Linked DNA regions of Oreochromis niloticus. The protein of the gene in region 2 interacts with the protein of the main gene of each other region in a pairwise test. Links are inferred from orthologs where the notes say so. Each region holds a gene or a part of one and is shown on either strand. Other genes may lie near its edges.

What was found. The genes of interacting proteins can lie anywhere in the genome.
Region 1: the proteins of histone acetyltransferase KAT5 (region 2) and apbb1 interact in binary tests that used the Homo sapiens proteins (3 or more experiments, as listed by UniProt). The link is inferred for Oreochromis niloticus from reciprocal best matches to the Homo sapiens genes KAT5 and APBB1.

What each region holds. Positions count from the first base shown.
Region 1 is NC_031979.2:28,795,837-28,806,166, reverse strand, and holds the start of apbb1 (amyloid-beta A4 precursor protein-binding family B member 1), read right to left. Parts: upstream 4,810-10,330; 5' UTR 4,641-4,809; intron 4,054-4,640; 5' UTR 4,032-4,053; coding exon 3,401-4,031; intron 2,837-3,400; coding exon 2,631-2,836; intron 2,546-2,630; coding exon 2,486-2,545; intron 1,668-2,485; coding exon 1,588-1,667; intron 1,513-1,587; coding exon 1,446-1,512; intron 1,193-1,445; coding exon 1,046-1,192; intron 745-1,045; coding exon 617-744; intron 1-616. Other genes in the region: integrin-linked protein kinase, read right to left, coding at 7,942-8,091, 8,211-8,341, 9,721-9,820, 9,905-10,026, 10,233-10,330. UniProt on the Homo sapiens protein: Transcription coregulator that can have both coactivator and corepressor functions. Adapter protein that forms a transcriptionally active complex with the gamma-secretase-derived amyloid precursor protein (APP) intracellular domain.
Region 2 is NC_031975.2:11,842,836-11,853,008, reverse strand, and holds the start of histone acetyltransferase KAT5, read right to left. Parts: upstream 4,298-10,173; 5' UTR 4,189-4,297; coding exon 4,159-4,188; intron 4,079-4,158; coding exon 4,012-4,078; intron 3,307-4,011; coding exon 3,238-3,306; intron 2,915-3,237; coding exon 2,776-2,914; coding exon of another isoform or gene 2,738-2,775; intron 2,188-2,737; coding exon 2,115-2,187; coding exon of another isoform or gene 2,109-2,114; intron 1,581-2,108; coding exon 1,422-1,580; intron 1,325-1,421; coding exon of another isoform or gene 1,322-1,324; coding exon 1,247-1,321; intron 1-1,246. Other genes in the region: abcg4a (ATP-binding cassette sub-family G member 4), read right to left, coding at 9,885-10,110. UniProt on the Homo sapiens protein: Catalytic subunit of the NuA4 histone acetyltransferase complex, a multiprotein complex involved in transcriptional activation of select genes principally by acetylation of nucleosomal histones H2A and H4.

The DNA.
Region 1 (10,330 bases), on a different chromosome or scaffold from region 2:
GCAACTCAACTAAACTAAATTTCACTCAATGCAAGAATTCATCACAGCACACTTCAGTTAATCTTAAACAGAGGATTTCCACTCCATTTAAACATTTTGGCATCCATCAGGAGAGTTATCAAGATTGTGATACATAAGATATGATCCGCCCCCCTCCATTTAATAAGTGGTGTTAAATTTACTTAATCTTAAAATACATTGTGCTTGTCACGATTCAAAGTAACTCAAAAATTGGGAAATGCAAAAAAGAAAAAGAAAAAAAAAAATCCAATCACATTTACATGCCATCCAAAGGGAGATTTTAACCTAGGAAAAAGCCTGGAGATATTTCATTTCACATTTAAATAGCCTCATTAGAAACATGCTCTCACTGAGGACCTCACACAAATTACAAATGTGAGCTACATTCTAATAGAAAGAAGAAAAAAAATCCATGTCCAATTAAAAAAAAAAAAAAATTATATGAGCTTAAAGTGAAAAATTACATTTTTTAAGTAACATAAAAAACAGCAGGCCAATGACATTACATTTGTTTTCAAAACTGATTGAAGAAGGCAGTTACATACATTTTATAGTTCTGCCATTTTCAATTTGGCCTTGTGCTGTGGACACTGACCTGCCGTTGTCTCTGCCGACACCCCAGACACGGATGCTGCCAATCGGCTGAGCATGAAGCAGAGTCTGGCCCAGCGGGTCGATCAACTTCATGGTGTCATTCTCCAGGACCATTAGCATGTCTTTACCCTGTCACAAAACACGTTTCAGTTTGACGAGTCAGACTAAGCACACATTTCTCCAAAATGTTATTGTTACCCACGGTACTTAAAGTATTTCTCTGAAATTCAAAACACTATTTCAGAAATGGAAATGGAGCATTATCAATCATTTTCAAACCATCAAAGACAAATTGTGGTTGGAACCAACCACTAAATGAAACATGTTCTGCCCTTCACATTCAAAGAAGTTCTTATTAAAAAAAGAGCATTACATAAAATGTCATGAAGATATCTGTGTGCGTGTGTGTGTGTCATTACAATCATCTTACCTCTCCCCAGATCCCAGCGGTGTCATGAAGGTTGTGTTTGTGATAAGAGAGCTGCCTGATGCAGTTGTTGACAGCGACGCTACTCTTGCCAGGTGCCATGTCCTCTTCAGACATCTCAACCCAGCCCAGAGAGCGCACTGCGAAACACTGACAGTACAAATGTGCTGCATATTAGTTTAAACTAGGACAAAAAAATTATTTCATGTGCAGAAAACGATTAATTTTTGGTAGGTAGGTAAATAAATAGATAAATAACCAACCCCTCTACACATTTCATATGTCCTAGATGTCTGAGACGCATTCTAATGACACTTTTCTGTGACAGCATTTCTAAAAGGAAAACTGAGACCAAACTACTCTGAACATTTTGAAAAAATCTAAAATTAAGCAGTTGATTTACCTTAGTTTCTAAGTCTGTGCAGAGTGGAGCAAGCTTCTCTTCATCCTCAGACTGGGAGCAATTATAACTACAATGACAGAAAATAAAGTTAAAAATCTGCAAAATTAACACTGACTAATTAGAAAGTTTTAACACCACATACTTCAGGTTGATAGATGCATAGCGTAAAGTTGCTCCTTCAAACTCCTTCAGACTTTGATCAGATGCAACTTCTCCCTCCTCCTAAAGACAAACATTTATGTGCAGATGGAGCCATTTAATCACAGAGCGTATGTGCATGTAAGGTATGTAAATTCTGTCATATTGTTACTAGTCTTAAATGGGAGAATGCCAAACCTTTTAACAGTGAGCTAGTCTTAAAGTTTTAAAAAAAAAATCAAGTTTTAATTCATTCTAATGAATTAGGGTAAATATTCTCCATAAAAAACTGTTTGTATTTAGCGTGCTTTTAAGCCATTAATCATATTCTTTAATAGTCAGATCTTATTTTAAATGTCACTGAAATGTGTGGCATAACACTGCACACTCTCTTTGTGAGAGGCCTGCTGCTACCTAATGTGAATGTTTACACCTGAGTTTGCCGAGTGTCTTGGCAACCTGCTGCTTGATTGTTAGATACTGTGTTGTTATTTTTTATTGATTATTGCACTGTAGAGGCTGACGAGAAACAACATTTTGTTTCAGCCTGTGTATTTCTGCAAATACCATTCGAAATGACAATAAGCCATCTTGAATCTAGTAACTATCTAGGTTTGTTTGCAGATTCTGAATAACATTAAATGTGCTAACCAACAGCTTTCATTCTTCAGGGAATGTAGTTAAGCATTGATTTATTTGAGTACTACATACAACTATCCTTGTTCTAGATCAAAGTACTGCAGAACATCTGTCTTACTTTCCACCTTATAGATTCATAAAATGAAAAATTTGTCTAACTAAGCGATGACAGCAACATTTAATCTTCTTTTGGACTCATTATGCACATCCATACTAAATATACTCAAAGAGGTAAGCTGAATAAAACTCTAGCCATGATTTACCTTCCACAGTTCCCCTTCACCAGCACCTTCATCAGTGCTGGACAGTTGAGCCCAAGATTCCTGGAAAAATGTGACAAGACTTACCATTAGCAACAGTTTGACTTGTCAGTGCCTCTGTCAAATTAGGATGCTGGTTAGACCTCACCTCAGGTTCCTCACAGGGTGTAGTCTCCAGCGACATCGTGGACGACATCATGGAGTCCCCAACCTTACCCAGCGGTGAAGGAGGCTCCCACTGAGTGGTGCCTGTGGGGATGTGCCAGTAGTACGTGCCTGATGTATCTCGCACCCTCATCCATCCTGAGGGCAGGTCTGTGTCCGTCTCAAAAGCGCTGGAATCCCAGAAAGACTCTGAAGGGCGGGAAGTAGGAGACCAAGGTTACTACAGGTAACGTCATCTCAACTAAAAGCTAAACCTTTGTTTGGAAATGCATATTAACTATCTAATTAACAAAGTAAAATAAACATTTTACTTTTTTTGATTTGGTCAACACGACCAGCCTTGGGAAGCTTTGGTGAAGATGTAATAGCTGTTCTGCTTTCTAAATTTTGCCCCTGAGAAAAAACACCAACCTAATATTGCAGTATTTAAAAAAAAAAAGGCTAAAACTAATAATAACTAAAAATAATTAGTTCTTTAAGTAATAAAGTATAGCGTCTGACAATCACACTGGAATGTAAATAAAGAGATGATAATTCACTATTTCCAGGAGTCTATCTTCTTTACCAATATGTTTAGCAGCCAAATCATCCTGTGTTGCTTCTATTTTGACCATTTTGGCTTTTCTTGTTAGCTGCAGTATGATGCTAATAAACAGAGTGCATTCTTCAGATTTTTTAATATCTGCACAAGCTACAACATATAAAGTTGTCTAAACACCTTCTGTGTTTTGTTTTGTTTAGTTTAGTTTTTACCTCTGTTGCCATTTGGAGAGCTGTCAGCTGTGTTGTCCTGAGACAGAGCAGGCCAGCTGGACTCTTCATCACTTGGTGTCCCGTTCATGTTGGAAAATAGCAGGCAAGCGTTCCTCCCCACTCTCTGAGACTCCACATTACTCTCTTCATCTGCCAGTTTCTCTCCTCTGGTGCCACCTGATGTTTCTTCATCGTCTTCCAATTTACTTTCCTTCTCTTTATCATCCTCTTCTCTCTCTTTATCTTTCTCTTCTGTGGACTCCAGGGTGTCAATGAGAAGCGGCTCATTAAGGATGTTATTTGACTCCTCCTGACTGAGACCAGGGGTCATTGCTATTTTGGGAGACTTGGTCTGCTCCTCGTTACCCTGTTGATCTTCCTGAGTGGTGTTCTGGTGAGGGAAGTCTTCCTTGTTCCCATTCTGATTGATATTGCAGTTGTGGTCTTGGTCCTGCTGGTTCTCCGCTACTTTCCGCAGCTGGTTTTGGCCTTCCTTGACCCACTTGGCATTGTTGCCGGTGGACTCCTGGTCGCACCAGTGGCTGCCGTCATTCAGCTTATTCTTTAGCTCTTCGTCTTGCTTCTGTTTATTCACAACATATGTCATATCTTCATCATCATGACCACCCATGGTAACTGTCCATGTACCTGCTCTGATAGAGAGGGGGAAAAATACATTAGCATTACCTTTAGCATACTAGTTAGCAGTGATTTTAGCAAAGATTCTGATCAAGGTTTCTCAAATATAGAACGATCGCTTGATACAAATGTATTCAAATGTTTCACAGTCGCCGTTAAATGTTAAATTATCAGCGAATTAATAACGTTTAAATATGAAGGATGAAGTCTGTTTCTTGTTCGTGTATTCCGGGATGGTCATTTTACTCGCAACTTTCTCTGTTTGGTTTCTGACGAATACAAAACGCACTTCAGCAGCTTCACCTTCCATTTGCCAACACGACCTTTTTCCTTTTTAGATAAACGGCCCCAGTAAAGAGCCTGTATCAACCTGGGTCATTATTTAGGTTCGCTCCTATGATTGTTTAATAAAACCTAGGTAAATACCGTGGTTTTACTTGTTAGATACCATCGCCGCAGTTGGAAATAACGGGCACCGTCCGCCATCACCGACGTCTTTGCTAGGCTAATGTTAGCTTCTCGGTTAGCTAGCTAACATTTCCAAACTGCAGAAGCAAAGTGACTGCAGCAGCACTGATTTTATTAAAAAATGTTGACTCACCAGCTCACCAAACTCCTTTGTCGTCGAAATGCGCTCAAATGTGTAGAATAACTACATATTTCCACAGATCGTGAGGGCTCTCGCTCGGTTTCTAGGTGGTGTTTTCTGTCAGTGGGCTCGGCTAGTGATGGAGGACGAACCTGCGTCACGGATTAACGTCACGGCCAGAGCCCACTACTGCCACTCAGGCACAGAGCAGGAGGCAGACCTAATGAAGGAAAACCGGTCCTTCACACTGTTTTTGGAAATATTGATTAGGCGCTGAGCGGGGGGATTACCGAACGGACATACAGCTCCCGGTCTAACCCAGAAAGAAACCATAACAAGTAAAATAAGAAAAGAAGGCATGCAAAATAATCACAGGGAGATGAAGATGACATCAAAAAGACGCAAAAGGTGGCCAAAAACAGGCTCAAATTGAATTTAACAACTACAGAGAGATGCAAAAGTGACCACAAAACACCTGAAATTAATAAAATGGCCAACATTAGACGCAATAAAAGAATCAATAAAGAGCTGCAAAATCGCACCACAAAGACAGAAGGGTTACAAAAAGGTGCAAAAATACAAAAAGAATGAGTGAATTTTTTTTATTTATTTATTTTTTTTTTGCATCTGGGTGTATGGATCCTTGGGGCCTTTTTCCATTTTTTTGTCTCTGCATTATATGGATTGATACATTAAATGCGTTAAATGTTCATATTCATATTGGCAGAGCACTTTTTAATAAGCCCTGCTTTTATCTGTGTTAACATCCGTTGGCCAAAAAAGTACTAAAGCAACACTGTAAAATACTTTGCTGAGTAGTAGCAGTGGTAAAAGCTTGAAACATATTTTTTTAAAAGCCAATTGTATTTAGGTGTCTCAACTCCACTTATATAATTGAATATAACAATGTATTGCTACATGTCACTGGACACGTTTGAAAGAAAAACTGGCCTTAAATGAAGAAAGTACTGAAAACATTTAGTGATTTTGGTCCATACTGACATGACACTGACATCACACACTTGTTGCAGGTTTGTCAACTGCACATCCATGATGCAAATCTCGTTCCACCACATTCAAAAGGTGCTTTTTTCCACTGACATCTGGTGAGTATGAGGCCATTTTGAGAACCCATTGTTGCATTCAACAAACCAGTTTGAGCTTTTGGGACATGACATGCTATCCTGCTAGATGCACTGCCGTGATAAAGGGATGAACATGGTCAGTAAACAGACTCAGGCTGTGGTGAAGGTAGTAATTGGCCTGAATATTGCAGCAGAAATCAAGACTCATCAGAACTGTTATTGTCTAATTTTGGTTAGCCCAAACCCTCCGTTGCTTGTTCTTAGCTGACAGTAGTGGCACCAGACACGATCTGCTGCTTTAGCCCATCTGCTTCAAGGTTTGCTGTGCAATCAGAAACCCTCTTCTGCATATCTTGGTTGCAGTGAGTGGTTATTTCAGTTACTACTGCCTTCCTATCAGCTCCAAGCCATTATCCTCTGACCTCTGTCATCAACAAGGCATTCTCGCCCAGAGAACTGCTGCTCTTTTTTTCCCCAGACCATACACTACACCAAATTCAAAGTGACTTAAATCATTTTTCTCCTGCATTCTAATGCTCAGGTTTATCTAAGCTTCACCATGTTCATATGCCTAAATGCACTGGATGATAGCAGATATATGCATTAGCAAGCAGTTAAACAGGTGTACCTGGAGAGTATGCCCGATACTGGGAAAGTATGCTTTCTAAAATAGTGATAAACCCTTAACTCTATTATTGCCTCATACTACTCATTGATGTTTTACATTTCTGATCAAATTTGTATGTCGATACTGATACTGACTGAGATAACGAGACTCAATACTACAGAAAGCCCTGTTCCTCATAAGATGAATGTTACATTTAAATGTCAATACCCTGAAACTTATGTCGCCTCTCTTAAAGAGATCTATTTGCAATCTTTATACATTTTCCACAATAACCCTGTCATGTCCAGTTCCCTCCAGAAAATGCCCACATTCAAGTTGTCCATATGTTCTATTTTTTAATATACTTATATATAAATACATACATTTGCATATGTCATTCTTGATTTTGGCTTCAGCACAAACAAGCAAGCTGGTGGAGGCACAGAAAAGACTGAAGTAAAACAAACAAAAAAACCTTGAGTGGGATATAAAGCAAGAAGTAATCCAGTGGATCAAATAACAAATGAGCGAACACAAACACATGTTTAGTCAAACCCTTGATGACAACCAAGAAACTGGGGGAAGTGTCCCTGACAACACCTAATTTTGACTGTATCTATCTTATGCTTTAATAAATTACATAATAGGATGCAGTTTTCACGTCGGTTCACAAAGAAATGTCAGCATTGAGCCCAAACACTTTCATACATGATGACACAAGCTGACTGACGTTTTTGTTCAACAGTAGAGCAAACAGGATTCAAATAATGTATCAGGGAAAAAATAACAATTACTGAAAGATTAAGCAAATAAGTAATGCCGATTACATTAACACAATTACCAAGAATTCCATTCCATTCTGGGTGAATTTTTCCCAAAAACTCCAAACAGAAAAGCTTTTATGGCCAGTTTTAAATCATTGGGAGGTTGCACAGGATATAGTCGGTCTACGAAAAGGCCAAGCTCATCATTACCACTATGCAGCCCAGCTAAAAGGCACAATGCTGCTTTTTGTACGTGCGCTCAAGGGCACTGCTCATTCATATTGTTTTATTATCTAATACATTTAAATGTTCAGCTTCAAACATTTGATAATATTAATACAACAAACGTATTCCCACAAGCTTTGGGTTAATATGTTATCCGTTTGTTATGGGCCATCATTGCAAAAGGAGCAGTCACCTTAGAGGGAGACTTTTTAATACAGCGAGGATCAGCATGGCAGGCCCACCACAGAAGGAATTCAACAGAATATCATGCTGACCTCCACAGGTTATTCTGTCACTTGAGATTGTACTCAATTCAATATGATTGCAGTTTATACAGTGAACAGTAAATACTATGCTTCTGCAGACAGTGTCAGCAGATCAGTAACAAAAACTGTAATAAAACTTTGATATCACTAACAGAAGAAGAAAAAAAACAAAATATAAAAAGGAGTGATTTCTGCTGAATTCATCTCACAAGCAGAAGGTACAGTGGCGTTGAATACAGCGGTAGAGGGTGAGAATGAGACTTTAAGGCAATATTGGTAAGCACCACACCAACATCTCAGAGTCAAATCTGGGTTAAGATATCCTGTTGTTCATCGGTTAGGTAAAGAAGGTCAGAAGAGGTTTTTTCACTTGTCCTGCATTTTTTCCAGAATTGGCACAATCATGTCAAATTTAGGCCTCTTTGCTGGATCTTCGTTCATGCATATCTTCATGAGCTTGCAAATGTGGGGAGAGATGCCAGGGGGGATAGTGGGCCTCAACCCCTCCAAAGAAACCTATAACCCAGAACATACAGACACATTAAATCCATTAAACTAACAGGTCATAATTGTGAGGTCTGTCTGCAAGCTGCTGATATCCAGTTGTTAATCTAATAAGCAACAGTGCTGCTAACCTTCATGCCTATCTCCATGTTGGACAGGTCAGCAAACGGCACTTCTCTGGTTACCAACTCCCACAGCAGGATAGCAAAGCTCCACATGTCTGCTGACCGGCGGTTGATCTCTTCTGGCTTCTTCTGAAGGGCTGAGCAATGCCAAGAAAAATAAAGAAGGTTATAGAGTAACGTAACAACATGCCACATCCTCAGACTACTGTGGAGAAATGAAAAGTTATTGCAACTAGTGGGGCGGTTCCTTCCTTAGGATGTGCCTAATTTGATATCATGAATAGCTGATCAAAATCACCACCTTGTGTCACATGCAGTGTCATGTCAACGAGTCTGCAGAACTCAGGTACAAAATATAGTAGTCAATGGTCTACTAATCTGCAGCAAGTAATGTCCAAAAAAATACTGCATTAGAAAAAATAGAGGCAATTTCTGTTTCCACTCTTGCAAACTAGTGTCTGCCTACAAACAGCAGCAGAGAAGCAGAAATATATACAGTATACAGTATAAAGTGGGGAATCCTAAGGAATGTATTTTGCACGACAGTTCAGTATTTATCTTAAAAAAAAAAAAAAAAAAAAAGCTTGAACAACATGGAGCTCTGTGGGCTTTTTGCCTGTGATCTAGCATCGTACAGTATATGTTGCTATGGAAACCAAATCTTGGAGATGAAGAGAAACTGAAGACATTTGAGCAGCTGATTTCACAAAGGCAGGTAGCAGGTTACAGATACAAAGCGCAGCACAAACCTAATGTCAGCTTAAATACATTTACTTCAACAACAGTGTCTTGTGCCATCTGTTTAGTCCTATTGTAAAGTTAGTGCATATACATCAGCTTGGATTCCAGGCTAAAGTAAAATCTAACTAAACTCATGCCTCTGTAAGTGTGTAAGTGGCCATGTTTCTTTGAAGATTGAACAGCCTGTTTAAAACCAATTACCAACCAGCCATTAAACCAAATTCCATAATCCTTTAGAAATGACTGAAATGTAAATATCATCATGTTGCAAAAGCAGTAGAAACATATTGTTGCAATTCTTCTGCAAAATGATACAATAAGCAAACTTGCTAATATAAGGAAAATTCGAAACAGTAGTGCATTTCTATTATTACATATTACAAAAAATTCCTGAATATAAAGGCATATTATCAAAATTTGTTACCATGCCAACTCTGTGTATTTGTGTTTTAAACACAAGAAATATTTGCTTGCATATCACAACATACATACATGTTGTTTCTATGTAACTGGTGGTGATAAATATCCTGTATCCCATCCCCCACACGCCGTTTCTGTTTGCTTCTCCGTTGCAAATGTTCCCTGGTTATTTTCACATTTTGTAATCAGTTTATGTTTCCAGCTAACTTTGATTTCAATCTATCTCCTGGGGAAATCAGCTGCAAATTACATTTGGCTCAGAGACAGTCTACAGTTTCCTGCATCCATCATTCAAGTGCAAGCTTGTGTGGCTTCAGCTGTCACTTTGGATCTGTGCTGTATGACTGATGCCTACCCTCAGGGGCTACCCATGCTGGCGAGTACATCCTGCCAGGACACTGGAAGGAAAACTTGACGTCTGCCATGCTGATCCTCGCCGTCATGTCCTCGTCTATCTGTAAAAAGGGAAAACAAAATTGACTTAGATGCCTCCAAAAACTGTACCACACATCTCTTCTTCGTAGTTTTCTTCTTCTTACCATTACACTCTTGCTGTTGAGGTAATGGCGAGGGATCATGGGTTCAAGTGTGTGTAGGAACGCCATTCCATTAGCAATGTCAAGGGCAAACTTGACTGCCTGTGTCTGGTCCACCACAAAATCTGACAGCATGATGAAGAACAAGTAATAACAGGTTTAAGCCATGTCTTTCACTACATTACTGGATGACAGTGAAATTGCTACTGTAGAAAAAGTGATGACAACTTAATGACCAAAACAAATACTTAAGTCCAATAAATCACAAATCCCTACAAATCACCCAAACTGGTGACAAGTATGGACCTGTGACCAGAGTAGAGGTACTCACTGGTGCCTTCATGCAGCACGTTGTAGAGGGAGCCATAAGGCATCCAGTGTGTGATGATGATGGGGTGAGGGGCGGGAGGAGACTGACATGCTCCCAAC
Region 2 (10,173 bases):
CCTGATGCTGAAAAATAAAAATATATGAAAGCACAACATACAGTCCTCAATATTTGCCAGCATATATGTTACTGTGCCCATTAGCTAGAATGAAATGTATGACAAAGTAATCAAACAACCTAAATATAAATAAATAAAGAGCAAGTTCTTTTTCAGGAGGGTCGTTAAGCTAACAAGCCATAACCAAATAGCTGCAAATGTAATTCCCTGCTTTAAACACCACAATAAAAACGAGCTAAGAACACATCAATGCATAAAAACACACTAATGAATTGTTTTGTGGTGGTCAGAAGGGAAACAGTGGGTGAGAAATGAAAAGGGAAACACACACACATATATATATATAAAGGGTAAAGAAAGGGGGAAGTTAAAGAATGACAAAGCAATCTTTAAAAAAAACAAAACATTTTCATCATTATGATTGCACGTGGGGTTTATAAACAAATACATGAGAACAATAATTTATCACATTTGAATCCTGTGCAGTGATGTTGACATTTTATATGGGTACAGACAAAGTTTTTTTGGGGGGATAGCGATTATTCTTTTCCTTATTTTCTGTCGTATATGCACACCTTTACAGATGTGGATGGTCAGAATAAATTTGGCCAGAGTTCAAAAGGTCAACATATGTACAAATGATTGCTGTAAGGCAAAAGCTCACACGCTGTTTCAGACAGTTTTTCTACTCTTAAATCCGCGTGATGACAGCGGCATTGCTAAGGATATCCATGAGCTAGTTGTCATGGAGACCTCGTCCACCTGCTGCTCAAACATTTTTTTGGCAAGGAGCAGCCAATCAAAAGAAAGCGGACTTAAATGGAGGAGAAACAAGGCTAATAATTCTCATTCCAGACAGATGATGAACTCAGGGGCTGCACCAGGGCCCCATACAGGATAAGTAAGCATTATTTTGAACTGTGAATCATGCAAAGCTACTTTAATAAAGTCCAAGAATTAAAATATGGTGCTGGAAATAAGCACAATAGGTCCCCATAATAAAACAAATATGTCCTATTACAACAGTATAGATCTTGTGCAAGAACCGTGCACCAGTCTTAATGAATGTCACCAGCTGCACCGGAGAATGCTCCAGTAAGCGGACTGTGACACTCTGCACATGCATTTTGACTTTGCAAAATGCATTCTAATACAACTCCACAAAACCCAACACAGACTCTTAACAAATTTAAAAAACAAAGCGAATAACACGACCACAAACATGCAGTAAATCAAGGTAACGTACCTCGTCAGTTCCCCCACAATTAGCTTTCCTTTTCCTCCCAGGTGGAGCAGGGATGAGTCGTCGGGCGTTGCCATTCTGCTGTGAGTAGGACATTAAAAGATATTCATTAGCAAATAGGAGAAAAGAAAAAAAAAAAAAAAAACACAGAGAGAGAATTTAAGAGGATTTTCTTTACCGTTGTGAGCTCATGGTCTTCACGGGACTTAAAGGTGGGCGTCTCTCTCACGGCAGGAAAAACAGCTGCCTGAGTGGCTTCAGCTGAACTTGGGAGGGAGGGCACAGGGGTGACCGGGGGTACCTGAGGAGCCACAGGGGCAGGCTCTACTTTCCTCTTCTGCAGCAAACAAACAGTGTTAGACATTCAGCTTTAAGATCGAATACAAACAAACCAAACAAAGGCGAATTTGATGGGATTTTTTTTTTCATGTCAACTTGATCAGAGGCTTGATTAAAAGCAGGGGACTCCATTTGTATTCAATGAAGAGTGACATCTTGATATCAAGATGCTTTTTCAGCAGTTTGTATGCAGACAGAACTAAGACTGTGCATCTTTAATAGCCACAGCAAATCAATTTATTTCTCCAAATCTCAGATAATTTGCAGGTTAACCAATGTAAATACACCCCATTAAACCTGGTATTAAATGTGATGGCAACAGATGGGCTTCACTTCCTATTATAAATCTTCATTTGGATACACTCTATATTAAACGTCTTTCAGATGTGACTTACTTTACCTTATAGCTCTGCATAGCTTTATATTCCCATGCAGGGCAACATTAACAGTGGGGCCATCACACAAGAATCACATTGACACCAGGTTTAAAAAGATCTCAGTAATTTGTGGAGTGGGTGAATTCTACTTGTACCGGAGTGGGGAGGGTTTTGCCTCTGGAAGGAGCTGTGGCAGTTTGTACGTTGAGATCTAGACTCTTCCTCTGAATTGAACGGAAAGGAAGAGAAGGAAGCGGGTTAACACTGGCATAATTCATGTTAACCCTCAGGTTAATTCTGAGGAATTCAATTCACACAAAATCGAACTAAAGGTTTAGTCATAAAAAGAGCGTTTCACCATTTCAGTGGCATGTGTTTGATTTAAAATTAGACACAAAGAAGTATTAACACAGAAATGTAAGACTGAAAAAAGAGGATATTGATATTTTGTTAAAAACAGGGTCCTCTATAACATGATGCCCTTTTATTTATCTATATTTTTATTGTTATTATGGCTGCATTTCCTGTGGGTAGACTGTTACAAATCACTGCTCAAGCAGCATAAAGCACACTGCAGCTTATTAAAGTGACCATGGAAAGCAGCGCTTATACCATGCATCAATGGAAGTGAACAGCAACAAATATGAAATTTACCATCATGCAGGTTTTTCTATAAAATGAATAAAAACCACACAACACAGAAATTAAGACTGACGTCATTTCTTAACACTGTGAGAATCATAATTACATTGCTTTAAATCACACGTGGACTCCTTACCACTTCTCTCTCTCTCTCTCTCTCTCTCTCTCTCTCTCTCTCTCCCTCCCTCCGGAGAACTAGGACGGGAACCTGAAAGACCATTCTTGGTTGGTGTTTTAGCATCTTTCTTGGGGAACTGAAGCTTCTTCATGTCCAGCCTTTCTGTTGTGACCCACTCATCCAGACGTTTGTTGACTTAAATACACAGACAAAGAGAGAGAGTGGTGATTTGATGTGTGAAGTTATTTAGCTTATAGCATGACAGGAAACGGTGGGTGAAAAAATAAATAAATCAAAAGCTATGTGGTACAAAGCTATAATTTTGAATTGATCCAAATATGACAAAAAAAAAAAATCAATGAACTACTAGATAAATAAAAATCTGCTTTGCAATTTTAGATAACAACTTAATAAACAAACCTTAAAAGGTGTAATTAGCTTTGATGTATGTTTACTAAACTGGGGCTGTGAATCAAATCTTGAGAAAAACCAAGACGACTGACACAAAATATACTCACAGTCAATGTAGTGAACATAGTAGAGCTTTCTCCCAGAAACTTCCTTCACACTCAGGATTTCAGCCAGTGCTGTACAAAGCAGAGATGTCACATTTTATCTGAACTGTACTCAAATGAAGACAATCGTTGTGATGCTTTTCTATGAAACACTGGAGCTTTAACACACTTAACATTAAATACACAGGCATGTGATATGTGATAAAAGTTACTGTTTAGATTTCAATGCTAAAAATAAACCAAAGGTGCATAAAATCTACTTTAATGGGAGATTTTAAATGTCCTAAAATGTAATTATTTATGCTGAGGTATCAGGATTATAAAGTCTAAGTGCGATGCCCAATTAAATTTGGTTTAAATACCACCTGTGCTTTAATTTCGTTAATTTCTTTCTTTATTTTTGCCTAAATGTGTTAAAAAGGAGTGTTAGATTACTATGGACCAAACTGAGTGCCAAGAGAGTAAGAGAGATAACCTGATAAATTCGCTCTCAAATTTGTAAACATCACTGATGCCACCTGCATTTAGTACTTTTTTTTTTTCTACAAAACGTGAAACTAAGTCAAATTTAAGAGTTGGCAATTTAATTTCCGAGAGAGTGGCAGCAGCTTTCTTAAGTCTTCAAATTTAATTCATTCACACTTTACAGCTGCATGCACCATCTGTGGCCATGGTGTTTACAGCGCTTTAACTGGAGGCCGTGGCTTCTGGTAACAACAGCTGAGCTGAGCTCCTTAGCATTAGCTTAGCATTGAAAGAAAAACGGACAATACTTACGCCATTCGTCTTCGTGTTCTTGGTTTTTACGAAGAACCGGGAGGCGACAGCCCTCCACAATCTCGACCTGTAAATAACAACACGTTAATTTATACTCTGAAACCGGTCAATGTGCCTATATTAACATTATATCTTTCTTAAGCCTACCGACGATGAGTTGTCCGCCATTTTCGTCATCTGTGCGAGCAGGAGCGGGGTGTTGTGGGAAAATGCCGGTCTACAACAAAGATGAAATATACGGCAAGATGAAACTTCCAGAAGGAGCCGCGGAAAACCAACCCGGAAGCTAAGCGGGGGGGATTTTGCTTATGTTTCTGTGTCGATTCCCTTGGCATAAAAGTGTGAAAAACTAAAGGTAAAATGAATTAAAAAAAAAAAAACCTTTATTTTTTGTAAAGTAACTGAAAACAGTTGGGAAGTTTTCTCCCCCTCATTTCTGAGTTATTTTCTCAGAAGTTTGTGAGTCAAAGTTTTGAGATGATAACCTATAATTTGGACTAATGGACAGCTATTTATTTCTTTATTAGTGGAAAAAGAAAACTACTATAAGAATCATAGCATCTACCAAAAAGCTAACCAAAAAAACCACAATTTTTTAATAGTTAGTTTTTGTCAATTTGATTACATTTTGTCAACAAAACTGGCATGAACCAGTATGTCTACTGATACTGGAGTATCATTATGACTGGAAGCCACATGTCTGTATCAGAACATTGTACTGATCTTAAATAATCATGCAGGTACTAATTAAAACAGTAGTATGCAAACTGTGGAATCTAACTTAAACTAAACTGAACTGAAAACAATAACGTGTTCAGCTTCCTTGATTATTTAATTTTTATTATTATTTTTATTTATTTTATTCAACTGCTGTTTGTACTGTTTTGAATTCATTAAATCAAATCAAATCACTTTTATTGTCACATCACATGTTCTGGTACACTGGTACAGCACATGTGAGTGAAATTCTTGTTAACCAAGTATGATTTGTTTATATAGCATTACTTTGTCAAAAAAGAAGTGACCCCTTTTTTGATTACTAAGATCTCGTCCCTGTAATTAGAAGTTTTACCATCTACTGAAAACTACGGTCTCTCATCATAAAGTAACCTTGCGTGGCATGCTCAGTTATGTGGTCAGCTTTGTGGAGGTCCACATTAGCAACCTGAGGCACATCTTTGCACTTACTGCCTGGTAAGGCACAGTCCAGTGAAGCTAATGCAACCTCCACCATTCTTTTCTAATGAACTTCTAGAGCCACATCTGCATTTCATTAAATGCTACAAATGACTGTATCCTTAATCAGGGCCTACAGATCTGCAGGTAGCTGTGTAAGAGTTTATCATGAGGTGTTTTTGAACATCATCTTCACTGTGTGGTGATAGGGAAGACTCAGAGAGCCCTCCAAGCATTGAAACACCAGCTGCACTTTACAGAGCTCTAACAGCAGAGAGCTGTGTTATCATTCTCCGTCTTTATCTTTCAAGGCCGTGTAGTTCATTAAATAAAGCTTCAGTGGGAGTTGAAGAATATTAATGCTGTGCCTCTACCACTTTTATGTGTTTTATTTATATATCATTGCAGGTAAGAGGTCATGGGATATCGGGCCTGCTGGGATCGCCAAGCCTACCTAATGAGTTTCATCTCTGACCAGTTTATCAAACAGTGAAACACATTAGAATTTCACACTAGCATTTACCTTCAATGACCCCATTATTGTGAGTACAGTCGTGAAGTCTAACTTGCCTTGCTTGTTCGGTTTGCTGGATTTTAGGTGAGCAAAGTAGCAGGCAGGCAGCTCCTTTACTAGCTATAGTGCTGCCTTGTTGGCCAGCGAGTGCGCTGATTTGTCTCAAGGTGCTAACGCAGAGCCTTATCATCTTCAAGTTATTAAAGTCCGTTCTAAGGCTGTGCAACACTCTCAAAGAACTTTATGTTTTCGGTGTAACCTCCCTCTCACCCGGTCAAAGCTGGGACAGGATCCAGCCCCGCTACAACTCTGAACTGGATAAGCAAAAGAAAATGAAGGAATATCTTCTCTCTTCATGCTTATTCATGTATTTTTTCCCTATTTTAAAAAAAATGAGAGTCGATTAAGTCTGAAATCTAGCTTCCTATTCAGCCCCAACTAAATATTTTCCCAGTGAATGTGGAAAAAGAGCGTTTACGTTGAAGCTGCTTTTCTTTTGTCACCTTCTGCTGAGATGAGGAATGTAATTTATGACTGAACTGCTTCACCACTCTGGATAAACCCATTATGTACATCTGTGGAAACACTTCAGTCCCTCTCATCCTGCTACATTGTGCCCGTCTGCAATTACTGCCCTCCGAGTCAACAGGACTGGGGAGCTTCGGAGCTATAAAATGTGCAATAAAATGTGGAAATCATTTTCTGGTTCTTCCTGATGTGTCCTACACGCCCCTCAGCTTTATGATTTATGTTTTAAAGCACACCTGCCATTCTTACCAGGGCTAGTAGCCCCAGCTAGAGTGTATTTGAAAAAGCTGTTTCAAGAGGTTTTCGTATCAATACATGGCACGAAACAGCAGCCAAGCTACTACTGGGTTACCTAAATGCCTCTAATGTAAATTTAAAGCTAAGAGAGTATTGTGAAAATGCTCATGATGAGTGTACTCCTGAGCACTGGAAAGAATCACAAATAATTAAGTGTTTGCTACTCATCAGTGTATAAATATGGTTATGGAAAAAGTATCAGCGATCAGTGTCCGATCAAATCATCTCACAAAGAAAGGGTAAAGGTTATAAATGATCTTTATTATAATCCTCGGAACAGCGTTCAGTATACAGAACTTGCATTTTTTTAAAATCAGAAATTAAACTCTAAGCCATAAATCAGATAAAACAACTACCTCTAATCCCATCACACATTTTTAATCAGACAGTCCAAGCTTTCTGTAGGGATAGCCTGCATATTACTCTTTACCATGCGAGTGCACAATAAGCCTGGTGGCTTCTTATGAGCAAACGGATGAAGCTGTGAAATGATTTAACAAAGTGATAAAGAGCAAACAGTGTGACGTCAACATGCGCTCAAGTGACCTTGCATCCTGCAAATTCACTTCCATAGCTACTTCATAACGCTTACACATATCTCACATCTTCCCATACCTCATTTATAATCAGCTAATCAGGGATGCTACCAGACAAACTGAGTGTACCACAGACTTCGTTAATGTGTCCGCAGAGGACTTATTTTGGTTAGAAAATTAACGGGAACATTGGACACTGCATGTACATTCTGGGGGAGAAGAAGGGAGACTTGTTTTCGTCTTTGGTACCGCGGGGCTTAACATCTAAGCCCCAAACTCCCCCAGACTGTTCAATGACTTGATGACTGTCCGTTGGTTGTCGTTGGAGTTGCAGTTAAGTTTCTGCTTCCAGTTTAGAGAAACTTAAAACACATCTCATCTGTTTTTGTAGGAAAATTGAGTTTAAACACCTTTTTTTCATTCCATGCATTTTTCTATAATTATCCTGATATTAGAATAAATTTTATGATCCCGCTTTGGTCCTTCAGGTTAAATCACTCTGACAATCCATTTCCCTACATTAGCTTTTGTCACTGAACACAAGCAACGAAAGTACAACAACGACAAAAAAAGCTCTGATTTCAGCATCACATTTCATGTAATTGGTCTCACAGAGTTGCCTTTGTGTGGTTATTGCACATAATAGAACCGGTAAGAAGAACATAAACCTTATAAACTGCAGGAGGTTTCGTAAACATCACGATGTGAACTATTGCTATTAATGACAGCCATCTCTGTGCGTGTGCTGAACAGCGAAGCAGATCAGTGATTAGTGATCCGCTCTCCAATCCAGCTGCTTCCCAAAGAGACTGTGAACCTCTTTAGCTACATAATGACATATTTGGCTCTCTGTTCAGTATCCCTGCCTTCTTCCATCCAAGACGTCTCGTACAGTCACCTCTTTTCACTCCTGATCGTGTCATCTTTAAGCCGCACTAGTGACGCACACGTGACTCCAGATGTTCTAAAAGAAATGCTCACTGGAGAGCGGAGGATTTGCATCTCCTCAAACGTGGCGGGACAGATATGTTTGGATGAGGAAATCAAACCACTGTCCCATACTCTGAAATTTAATATCTCATAAATTTCACTCCTAAGATGATCATGCAACATCCAAGTGCCGTTTTCTTTCCCCCGTTGCGCTTTCAAGCAGCACTCATCTTGTAGGTTTAAAAAAATAAAACTAAATACAAATAAATAAGAAAAAACAATAAAGATACACTGAAAAGTGCAAATGTACATTTGTTTACAGCATGACATACTCACTGTACAATCATTGATTATATACTCACATTATTTGAAGTATTATAATAAGGATTACTAAGTAGCATAGTTGGAGTAAGAAATATTTCATAGCAAGTCTATTGGAAAATATTTGCATTGCCCTGTGACTAGGAGAGGCTCTTCTAAACATTGCCATGGTGATGTGTGTGTGTGTGTATATGTGTGTAATGTACTTCCATGTGTGTGTGTGTGTGTGTGTGTAAGAGAGAGAAATAGAGAGCCAGTATGTATGTAGATATAAGGTGTAGTGTATGTGCAAACAAGGAAGCAGAGAAAACTCAAATCATTCTAGTTCAGAGGCACAAAAACCGCCCAGCCAGCATTTCAAGTATCTAACATTGTTTTGAACAACACGCATCTGTCAGACATCAGCAAAGCAGAGAGAAAGAGGAGGAAAGGAGGAGGGGACTTCCTTTTTCAGCTCAGGGAGGAGGCAGCTAAAGAGTCATACGAGTGGAAACAAGCATTTCAAAGAACTGTGTCAAAAGAGCGACACTGATTAGACAAACAACACTTTTCTTCTTCTTCTTCTTCTTCTTCTTTTTTTTTTGCTATTTTTTTAGCCATAATATATGCTATTGCACTTCACCTAAAATGCTATTCTGTCTGCGATGAAGACGGCCCGCTGCATCAGGCTGCAAACAGCTTACTCGCTTTCACGTGTCGCTCCCAATTCACTCAATGCTTCCCGAGTTGTGGCAGAAGCAAACACGTGCAGGAGCAAGTAAGGAGTCGTTAGGGCCGGATGCGGGGCGAATCCATGTCAGTCTTTGTGTAAGACACATTGCTTAACATATTCACAAGCTCTTCATCCGAGGCAAAGTGTCCCATCACTGTGAGCGTTGGGGCAGAAGGCCTGCGAAAATGATCCTCGCTGGAGACAGACAGCGAGGAGAGTCATCCACTGGCAGTCGATTTCTGTTCCATAAAGACAAGTCGCCACGCCGTGCATTTTGGTAAGGATACCTGACAAGATTATCCTACAGGAGAGAGAGATGAGCCCCAAAAAAGGCTTCCACTTTTCTGTTGGCTATAACAGAGGATCTGACTTGAAATCAGGGTCATCTTGATGGCTGCTGTTCTTTGTGTCAATTAAGCAGATTCTGATGTGGGCCTTGAAATACCTTTTAGGCACTGGATTAAGAAGCTCCAAGTTACAAACACTTTCCTGGAGTCACCAAAAAAAGTACATTTTTAAAATTCTCAGTTTAATGAAACATGCGATCTGCTTTTTTGGGGGACGTTCTGTCCACTCATGGTGCCACTGAACAATATTTTTATTGTATTTATGAAAGGTGATGGTGACCATTACCTGGCATACAGTAACGGTGTGCAGGGAACAACAATTCACAGTTGAAACTTTTCATTTTCTTATCAGTAAACTTTTTCAATCTGTGTTTGAGTAATGGTGCAGCACATACTCGATTGATTTTGTAATGTGGAAACCGAAAAAGAGAGACGATAGGTTTTCTTACTATCTCACACTTCTGGGATATTCACGAGCATCCATATCCATTAGCAATGTGCCTCTGGACGTCTTAACGCTCTGACTTGACTTTGTAGCGCAGAACCAGGTAAGTGGCGAGTCTGAGGATCAGGAAGAAAACCCCCAGCACCATGAAGTCCACGTAAAGCTTTGCGTCCTCCACATCCAACAGCTGCAAGACCTCCTCTGGCTTTTGAAACTTACACACAGGCTCTGGACATTCGAGCTCAGACCGGTTCATCCCATAAATAGAGAGTATCACCCCCTCAAAGCCATACCTAAAAGTGGGTGATTAAAGAGAGTCAGTGTAGACAGTCAAACCACACAAACCATCGACTATA